Saccharomyces cerevisiae S288C: one gene and its partner. Changing the gene in region 2 together with the main gene of any one other region gives a genetic interaction. Each region holds a gene or a part of one and is shown on either strand. Other genes may lie near its edges.

Evidence for each region.
Region 1: mutations in HKR1 (region 2) and RBK1 together harm fitness more than expected from each alone (negative genetic interaction), as found in Saccharomyces cerevisiae (2 studies listed by BioGRID).

Annotation. Positions count from the first base shown.
Region 1 is NC_001135.5:191,522-194,842, reverse strand, and holds RBK1 (putative ribokinase), read right to left. Parts: upstream 1,547-3,321; coding exon 545-1,546; downstream 1-544. Other genes in the region: PHO87 (SPX domain-containing inorganic phosphate transporter), read left to right, coding at 1-429; exosome non-catalytic core subunit RRP43, read left to right, coding at 1,825-3,009; fatty acid elongase ELO2, read right to left, coding at 3,208-3,321. UniProt on the Saccharomyces cerevisiae protein: Catalyzes the phosphorylation of ribose at O-5 in a reaction requiring ATP and magnesium. The resulting D-ribose-5-phosphate can then be used either for sythesis of nucleotides, histidine, and tryptophan, or as a component of the pentose phosphate pathway.
Region 2 is NC_001136.10:1,304,678-1,312,176, reverse strand, and holds HKR1 (Hkr1p), read right to left. Parts: upstream 5,911-7,499; coding exon 502-5,910; downstream 1-501. Other genes in the region: ARO80 (Aro80p), read right to left, coding at 1-137; RAD30 (DNA-directed DNA polymerase eta), read right to left, coding at 7,105-7,499.

The DNA of each region.
Region 1 (3,321 bases), on a different chromosome or scaffold from region 2:
GTTTCATCTTCAGGCTTGTTGGTAACTATTGCAAGAGCATTACAAAAGAAAATTCAGAACGATGGTGTTTTTGCTATCTTATGTATTTTCGGTATTTTAATGTTAGTTGTGGGCACTTTTGTCTCACATACTGTGTCAGCAATCATCATTATTCCCTTGGTGCAAGAAGTTGGTGACAAATTATCCGATCCAAAGGCAGCTCCAATTCTTGTGTTCGGTTGCGCCTTGTTAGCCTCATGCGGTATGGGGTTGGCTTCATCTGGATTTCCAAACGTTACTGCTATTTCTATGACCGATAAAAAGGGTAATAGATGGCTAACTGTAGGCGCTTTTATCTCCAGAGGTGTTCCTGCTTCGTTGTTAGCGTTTGTCTGCGTAATTACTCTCGGTTATGGTATTAGTTCTTCCGTCTTAAAAGGTAGCACTTAAACTGCCCTCATGTAATTACATTTCTTATTACTGCATTCTTTGTACCTTTTTAAACTTTATATATATGACGAAAACTAAAATTTAACAAACTAAAAGTAAAAAATTGCAGTAGATTTTATGCATCTTTCTGAACATCTTTATACAGTGGCATGCTTTCAGCAGCACCTTTTCTTTGAATGGTCAATGAACTAGCTAATGTAGAGAACTTTATAGCCGTAGACAAGGTCTCTCCTTGATACAATTGAGTAACCAAACCGCCCAGGAAAGTATCTCCAGCTCCTGTAGTATCAACAACCGAAACATTTTGAATAGCCGGAAGGAATTGTACTTCAGGGCTTTCGTGCGAACAGAAAAGCACCCCTCTCGAACCCAAAGTCATAACCACAATTCCTCTTTTCTTTCGATTCATGAGTTTTTCATACAAAAGCTCACAAATTTTACGATATTCTCCTAAAAAGTCGTCCTTTATCTTCTCCCTTATTTCTTCAACAAGTTCATTATCAAATACACTTTCCACGATTTGAAGACCCTCAATTTCATTAACGACCAAAAGGTCTACCAACTCCCAATCTTTCTTAGGCATGGCCTTGAAAGGTGAGGGGTTATATACGATCTGAAAATTCGGCCTGTTCGCATGTATCCATTTAATAATGGAAAGAGGATCAGGAATTTCGTGTTGAAAAACAACATACTCTTCTTCCTCCTTGCCCTCTGGAAAAATTTCACACAACTGTTTCGGGTCATAAATAGTCTTGCTGTTAGCACCTTCTACAATCAATATCCTATTTTGGCCACCAGCTTTCTCTTCAATTAGTATGGTAGCGGTACCCGTATTAATGCCTTCGTAAGTACCGACGTGAGTGATATCGACTCCGCAATCGGATAAAGTGTCCTTCAATTGTTTACCAAATGTATCATTTCCAACATTACCAATCATTCGAACACTATATCTGCTGCTGGGGTTTTTTAATTTACCAATGGCCGCAGCTTGGTTCAATCCCTTACCACCAGCATGTGTTTCGAAGTGGTTAGCCCTGAAAGTTTCTCCAGCGTTAGGTAATCTATCCGTAAATGTGTCCAAATCATAGTTTAGAGAACCTATTACTGTAATACCCATCTTTGAAATATGCTGTTGGAACTTTGGGATGAAAGACAACAAACATCTTATTGGCTATTTTTATCCTATTTGCTTCATGATTGTTCTGGCCACCTTCGGATATAAACCCTTTTATTCCCGTTTGATCTGGAGAGATTTTCAAATCACAGTCGACGAAAGTATAAGATTTTTCTTTCTTTTTTTATGACAGAGTATATAACAATAATGGACAAATTAGACGATGAGTATTGTTACACAAATAAGTTTGACAGTAGTTTCACAGGCATCTAATATTGGAAATGGCTGAAAGTACCACGTTAGAAACTATTGAGATACACCCAATTACTTTTCCACCTGAAGTTCTTGCGAGAATATCTCCAGAATTGTCTTTACAAAGACACTTATCCCTAGGAATCAGGCCATGTCTAAGAAAATATGAAGAATTTAGAGATGTTGCTATAGAAAATAATACTTTATCGCGTTATGCGGATGCTGGTAATATAGACACTAAAAACAACATTTTAGGCTCAAATGTTTTGAAAAGTGGGAAAACCATAGTCATAACTTCTATTACGGGTGGAATAATAGAAGAAACTAGCGCCGCGATTAAAGATTTGGATGATTTCGGTGAGGAAGAATTGTTCGAAGTGACCAAAGAGGAGGACATAATTGCAAATTATGCTTCTGTCTATCCGGTGGTGGAAGTTGAAAGAGGTAGAGTGGGCGCTTGCACCGATGAAGAAATGACTATATCACAAAAACTACACGATTCCATATTGCACTCTAGGATATTGCCTAAAAAAGCCTTGAAGGTAAAAGCTGGTGTTCGTAGTGCGAATGAAGACGGTACGTTTTCCGTCTTGTATCCCGATGAATTAGAAGATGATACGCTGAATGAAACAAACCTGAAAATGAAAAGAAAATGGTCATACGTTTTGTATGCGAAAATTGTAGTCTTGAGTCGCACTGGTCCAGTCTTCGATTTGTGTTGGAATTCTTTGATGTACGCTTTACAGAGCGTAAAGTTACCTAGAGCATTTATAGATGAGCGTGCGTCCGATTTAAGAATGACTATAAGAACAAGAGGAAGAAGTGCCACCATAAGAGAAACGTATGAAATTATTTGCGACCAAACTAAGTCAGTACCGTTAATGATAAACGCAAAGAATATTGCATTTGCTTCAAATTATGGGATAGTGGAGTTAGACCCCGAATGCCAATTACAAAACTCTGATAACTCTGAAGAAGAGGAAGTGGACATTGATATGGATAAATTGAACACTGTGCTAATAGCAGACCTAGATACTGAAGCGGAAGAAACAAGTATACACAGTACGATCTCCATCCTCGCTGCTCCTTCAGGTAACTATAAGCAATTAACATTAGTGGGAGGAGGCGCTAAAATAACGCCAGAAATGATAAAAAGATCATTGTTGTTATCTAGGGTTAGAGCGGACGATTTGTCAACAAGATTTAACATATAAAAGACTCGGATAAAATTATCTGATGACTGTCGAAAGGAAACGGAAAACTTTTTTCAACGATAACATGTGTATGTAATATATAACAAAACCATCCGGTCTTTTACAATATAATAATAGTGATAATAGTAACAATAGATCCACTAAGAAAAAACGAATATACGAAAGTTGAATACTTAAATTCTTTCAAAGATTTTACACTTACCTTTTTCTTCTGTGTTGAGGTTTTGGTGATGGAGATGGAGTAGGAACGTTTTTCAAGTCAACGTTAACATACTCATTAACCTTTGCGGCAACACCGCCGTGGGCACGCTT
Region 2 (7,499 bases):
GGGTCGTGTGGGTTATCAACCGGACCAAGATCACATTTCACCTTCCTTGATCTGCAGCTGATGCAAGCTTGGTAGGTTCTTCTCCGTTTTGGAAGTTCAAATGCTGCGTTTCCCGAAGGCCTTTTCTTAGCAGACATAGAGGATAAAGCAGTGCTTAATGTAACCTTATTATGCGTGGATCATATATTCCCACGACTAACTTGATATTATTGCTTTAATTTATTCTCGCTCTTTTTTCATTGGTTAGTTACTATCTTCATTTATCTCGGTTATCATCGGATAGAATAGTGTACTCTCGTTGATTCCGAAAATATTAAAAAAAAGCCTTCATGTATTACTAAGAAGGACTCATAAAATTACAAATGCAATACTTGATGATATATATAATAATAGTAATGGCGTGAGCCTATGTGTATTAATGGGTATCAATTTTTGTGATCATCTTTTGTTGCAAGCGCCCCTTCCAGCAGCGTTTATTGCACAGTCAATAATCATTTTTCGCTATATTTTTGTCGTTTGATGGTTCTGTTGTTTTATAACTTTCGACATTCTCTTATAAAGTTCTTCGTCTAAAGCATCCAGCTCCTCGATATGTACATCTGAAACACTACCATTGTCGTCAATATCCTCTATTTCTAAATCTTCAAGATTAGAGAAAAGAGTCTGATTTGGCTTTGGTAGTGAAGATTCTGTGTAGCGTAATGTGTGAAGTTTAATCGAATTTGTATGAAGGGGTGTGGTATAAGCGGTACTTGGCAAACATGTCTGACTCCCTGTAGAAAACTCATTCGTAATTTGATTTCCAGTATCGGGATCATCTGTAGTACATGATTCAGTGCCTAGTCCATGAAGTTTAGTTTCGCACAAATGGTTCTTGTTATAGTTTTCAATAACTTCGTCTGGCAAGTGAAAACTGTTTGACTCTTCATTGTCAGAATAACTGTCGTATAATCGAATATCACCATTTTCATCAACATCTAGAATGCCTGATATGGACTCCTCATCATTCAAGAAGGCTTCCGTAGCATCTTGGTTTTTGTCATACACGCAGTCTCTTACTATACTGTCTATTCCCGAACCATCATCCCCATTGGTTTGATCAAAATCGAGGGGGATTGCGTCCCTGTACAATAGATCACCGTCATCATTAATGGTATAATGTAATCTGTGAATAGTATTATAGACTGTGTTTTCGCCAGTCACAATATAATGATCATCTACCGCAGAGTAAACACTTTCATTTTCAGATTCTGGCGGCTTTTCATTATAAACTTGGTTTCCAGAAGAAGAGCGGGAAAGCTCGGTACTTTCAAGTTCCCTCTCATTATTGAGGCTTTTCCCTATGCAGTTCCTTGGGTGTCTTTTCAATAATATATTTCTATGACGGAAAGCAAAAAATGCAACGAATAACCACAAGAGTACGCCAATAGTTAAAACAATCAAAAAGATGATTATTTTTACAGCATACTTTCCTGCAGATGCAGAATCTGTGAATGAATTGATAAAGTCATCCAAAGCTCCATACTTGTAAGTTCCATCTATGTTTTGGGAATTTCCTTTTGAAGAATCCAAGACGCTTGATGAGGTTAAACTAGGGACATAACCACCATCTCCAGAGCCATATAACGTCAATCCCCCTAATGGGATCCCACTATCTATTAGACCAGCTAAACTTCGCAGTGGGGTTTGAGGATTGCTATAAAGAGTCGAATTTTCATCAAGGATTAATTGCTGAAGATATGTTACGGCTTCTGTTGGAAAATATACCTCTGCAACTGATACAATGTATGCCTTAGAAGAGTCTACCATGGGAACAATCTTTTTCACCGCTATTGAGGATGTGTCGACTTGTGGAGGATGTAAGTCCTCGGTTGACTTCGTGGCATTTTTTTTCTGCTGGTTTTTTTTTTTCTTGACAACTGATAATGATGATATGGATTTTGGGGAAAGGGTAGTTGTGCTGCTCCCAGACCGGTATGAAAGAATAAAAGTGGATAATTCCCCAATACTATTGTCCAGTTCTGATGAGGTGTTTGAAAAGGGATACTTCAAAACGAGAGGTAAAAAGTTGAAGATTTGAGCCGAAGATAATGGATTTTGAACCAAAAATACATAATTCAAAGCGGCCGTGAATCCGATGGTAATTAAAGTGTGGTTAATGGGTTCCGATACAGCGACGGCCGGTTCAATTGCATTGGGAAGTGAACCAGTGATTGACGGATTGAATGATGCGGTAGTGGGGCCCGTTTCGGATGATTCCACTATAATAGCGGTAGGTAACCATGCGTAACTATTTGGAGAGGGGTACGGAGTAGTAGGATAGGTAGACAAGGCAGGGGCTGTGAATACTGAATTAGTGCTTGCCTGAGTTTGAACTGCAGTCGTAGCAGGTCCAATTGAGATTTTTGTAAAAGACCGAGAATATGACCCACTGGTTTCAGAAGAACTTTTGTATTGCGTCTTTGTTGTGGTTAAGCCGGTTTCCTCGCCATTTTCGCCCATGGTTTTCGATACTTTCCTGGATAAACTTTTCGAATCAACCTTTGTATTTGTGGAGAGCGATGGGTTAGATGAAATATGTGAACTTTGTAAAGAACCTACAGAATTCCTCCCTTCGGATTTTTCAGACTGACTATTTGCTCGTAATGTTGATGTAAAGCTTGTGATTCTTTCTTGTGTGTTTGAAACAGATTTACTTGCAGGTATTGTTTCTTTTGAAAGTTTTATTGAAGATATTGATGAGGATGAGTAGCCAAATGAGGTTGCACTTTTTGACGAATCGACAAAGTTATGTGATAGTCCAGTCACAGAATTATGAGAACTTGGAATAGATAAAGAATATGCGTGCGAGCTACTTGAAATTGTAGTTATCTCTGTAGGAGTAGCGGAAAACTTTTCATTGTCTGGTTTCGCCGCGGAAGATGTGTATAGGAAATTCGAAACAACTGTGGATCTGCCACTGGTCTCAGTATTCTTGTTCGCCGTATCGTATGGATTTTTTGTACTGCTAGACAGCTGGCTCTGTAGTGAACTAATTTTAGCTGAGTTTTTGGGGCTTGTTATGCTTGCTTGGGTCGATGAAATTATCAGAGAAGTTTCAACCAAATTCGAAGCTGAAGGGTTGAAAACGGAAAGCGCGCTTGAATGTATTTCGTCATTTAAAGTTGAGCTTGTAGAAATTTGCTGAGAGACTATACTTTGGATTGCCATCGAAGTCTGCAGTAAGAAATCCGTAATCCTGGACAATGTGCTATGTATTTGAGTTGGTGCTATTGTGGATGTTGTTGAGTACCGCTCAGAAGAAAATTCAAACGCATAAGCAGATGAAAAGTATGTGTAAGTAGAAGAGGTGGGTAAAGAAGTAGATGGGGAAGGTGAAAATTCATATGTAGCAATGGACGATCTGGAAGCAGAAGATGATAGAGAGTAAACAATATCATATGGAGAGGATGAGGAAGTAGATGACATGGCGACAGAAGCAGAAGGTGAAGGCGTGTAACCGGATGATATGGCAGCAAAAGTTGATGGAGAGTAAACAATATCATATGGAGAGGATGTGGAAGTAGATGACAGGACAACAAGAGCCGATGGTGAAGACGTGTACGTCGAGGATACTGCAACAGGTGCCGATGGTGAAGACGTGTACGTTGAGGATATTGCAGCAGGTGCTGATGGTGAAGACGTGTACGTCGAGGATACTGCAACGGGTGCCGATGGTGAAGACGTGTACGTTGAGGATATTGCAGCAGGTGCTGATGGTGAAGACGTGTACGTCGAGGATACTGCAACGGGTGCCGATGGTGAAGACGTGTACGTTGAGGATATTGCAGCAGGTGCTGATGGTGAAGACGTGTACGTCGAGGATACTGCAACGGGTACTGATGGTGAAGACGTGTACGTTGAGGATATTGCAGCAGGTGCTGATGGTGAAGACGTGTACGTCGAGGATACTGCAACGGGTACTGATGGTGAAGACGTGTACGTTGAGGATATTGCAGCAGGTGCTGATGGTGAAGACGTGTACGTCGAGGATACTGCAACGGGTGCCGATGGTGAAGACGTGTACGTTGAGGATATTGCAGCAGGTGCTGATGGTGAAGACGTGTACGTCGAGGATACTGCAACAGGTACCGATGGTGAAGACGTGTACGTTGAGGATATTGCAACAGGTGCTGATGGTGAAGACGTGTACGTCGAGGATACTGCAACAGGTGCCGATGGTGAAGACGTGTACGTTGAGGATATTGCAGCAGGTGCTGATGGTGAAGACGTGTACGTCGAGGATACTGCAACAGGTGCCGATGGTGAAGACGTGTACGTTGAGGATATTGCAGCAGGTGCCGATGGTGAAGACGTGTACGTCGAGGATACTGCAACAGGTGCCGATGGTGAAGACGTGTACGTTGAGGATATTGCAGCAGGTGCTGATGGTGAAGACGTGTACGTCGAGGATACTGCAACGGGTACTGATGGTGAAGACGCATAGGCAGAAGGTACTACAACAGAAGCCGATGGTGAAGACGTGTACGTCGAGGATACTGCAACGGGTACTGATGAGAAAGATATGTAAGCAGATGGAAAAGGAGCAACGCCAAAGTGAGAGGAAACGGATGCAGATAAGGATGGGGAAGAATAAAGGGAAGAAGAAATATAAGTCGACGAGGAAGTCGCATGAACAAAGGTTGAATGGACAGAGCTGTATGGCACTGTATTGGTGCTTGAAGTTGAAACAACAGTATCCGAAGCACTGCTAACTATAAAGTTTGTCGTGGAAATCGAAGATACTGCGAAAGTGTTAGATTCACGGCTTACACCTTGACTTGCCTCTGAAGATGTTTCGGCAGTGGAAGAAGTGGCCGGGCGATCGACAATCAGTTCTTGGTCAGGATAGTTGCCAGCACTTAAGTCATAATATGTGGAAAGCTCTACTTCACTCATACTAAAACTATCAATTGATGTAGTTTGCGTTATGCTAGAGGGCCGGGATACTCCAACAGCCACTCGGCTGCTCTCAGAGGTTTCAGTTGACGTTGTTTGGCTATAAGAAGATGAAAAGCTGGTAATGGGGGAGCTAGATGTCTTGTCTGCAGTCGACTCCCCTCCAGAATAGACGGTTGAACTTGAACTGTAACTTTCAGAGAGCTGGGATTTGCTCATGGCATATTCTTCTTCGACTGAATTTTCAAACGATACAGTGTTGGAAAAATCTGTTTGTGTTGATTCACTACTAAAGCCATCTATTGTTGAAGCTGCCGTTATGCTGGAGATTTGTGAAACTCTGGTTACCATTTGTGCAATTCTCGTTGTTTCACTGATACTGGAAGTTTGAGCCAATGTGCCTTCTTCTTTGGAAATTTGAGAATCTGTGGTTATTATTGGACTTATTTCCCTCGGTACCGCTGAACTATCGGATGTGGATATTATTACGCTACTTGAGGATTCCGAGGAGGTTGTATCGCTATCTGACTCCGCCACGGACTTCGGATTGTGACTAAGCGTTTGTGATATTTGTGATTCATCGCTATAGGACTGCAAAGGGGTGGGTACAATGCTACTACTTGGTGTCGCTATTTCCGTAGACTTTTTTACTGATGACATCGTGTCAGAAGTTTGCGTTGTCGTCGTCACACTAATATACTGGCTGGACGTACCAGTTTCTTGTTCATCCATTATTGTTGTGCTTCCACTTTCACCATATTGGCCAGCCATTGTGGTGGTTTCAGAGCTTGATGTTATTGCATTCTCTTTGTTGCTAGATCCGGTACTGGATATCGCGGATGTTGAATATGAGGGTGTGCTTTCTATTCCATTATTGTATGAAGTTGAATATATTGTATCGTTACTATAGGCCTCGATTGCATTTAACAATGACACCAGGAGTAAAATTTTTTTTATTTTCAATGAGACCATCTTTATACATTCTCTGTTTCTGACTGTTGACTGCGTCAGTTGAGGAAAAAGATATCGCAAAAATTTCAATAATGTGGGTGCGGAATCAGTTAGTTACTGGTTAAAGAATGATAATAAAATTGATGATATGGCAATTGATTATAAACGGAAAATGTTTACAAACAAAGTTAGTGCTCTAAGTTGTAAACTTTCTCTTGATTACAATGCAGGAAGCAGTACAGCGAAATATCCAAACGAATGAAATGACTACAGGTGCCTACGAGGGACACTGCTTTTAAATCGCTGTAACTACTGTCTTTGAATAAGCCCTCCAATTAACTAATCTAAATATTCCTAAATTAGTTAAAAAAATTTTCTGCAACCAAACGGGTCAGAAAGCGAAATATCTTTAGCGCGTTGTGGAAAAGAACAAACTGCTATTAATAGAAAGTCTAAGACTTTTGATAATAAGAAACGAATACTTGAGTGATAACGTTGTTACACCTTTTAAAGAAAAAAACAAAAGAAATTGACTGACAAATTTTGTTGCTACCAAATAAAAACATTAAAAATAACGACAACTGCAGGACTCGAACCTGCGCGGGCCAAAGCCCAAAAGATTTCTAATCTTTCGCCTTAACCACTCGGCCAAGTTGCCTTAATTTGTATTGTAATCTGGTCTTCAGAAGAGTAATGATAGTGTATAACTTTTTTATGATGTATAATATTACTTGCATTATTATTCTTCAGATTTGTTTTTAAACAGCGTTACTTTGTAACATGAGATTGTGTGTATCAAACCAATTCCTGCTTTAAACGCATCTAATTGATTAAGTCCCCTGAACAATCAGCTGAGGTCAGAGATCATGCTTCCAGCATTCATTATCACATGGATCTTATATATTATGAAGGTATGTAATATTCTGTGAGTCATGTCTACAAAAATAAATTATAACAAGTTGTTTCTTTTTTATAGACTTCCAAATCTCTATCAAGAAATCCTAGTATGAATATTGTACATAATGTTATCACTTTGATCAAAAGCGAAGTCTCAAAAGTCATCAGTCGGTATTTTCCGATCATAAGATATTAAAGGTACTTCGTTCTTCTTATCAACAAAACCTGGCGCCCGTGAATCATTTAGAAATTTTGGAAAAGCAATATTATCAGGACGTTTTAGTTGCTGAAGCCATATAATTGTCTATTTGGAATAGGTCATTTTTTTCTTGTAAAAAATGATAAGATGTTTTTGGAAGATGTAACTTGTTTCTTCTGAGGTGTGGCAGTATGTTGTGAGTTTGGTCTTTTCCGTGAAAACAACAATCTTTTTTCCCCGAAAGAAAGGTTTTTGGATGATTCTTCAGCACCATTTAAGCCTTCCGACAGTTTCAATGCTAAATGATAGTCTGCGTGCTCTTGAAGAGCCTTCTGGTCTGTAAAAGTCACCTGGTATTTACAACATTCCAACTTCGGAGTTTTCTCGTCAGCTTTCGAGCTGGTAGTTTTTTCCTCATCTTCCTTGCCTGCTGAGCTTTTGAAAGTATGGACCTGATTGCCAAACATATCTACAACAGTTTTTTGTAAATCTATAATATCGAAATTAGTAATTG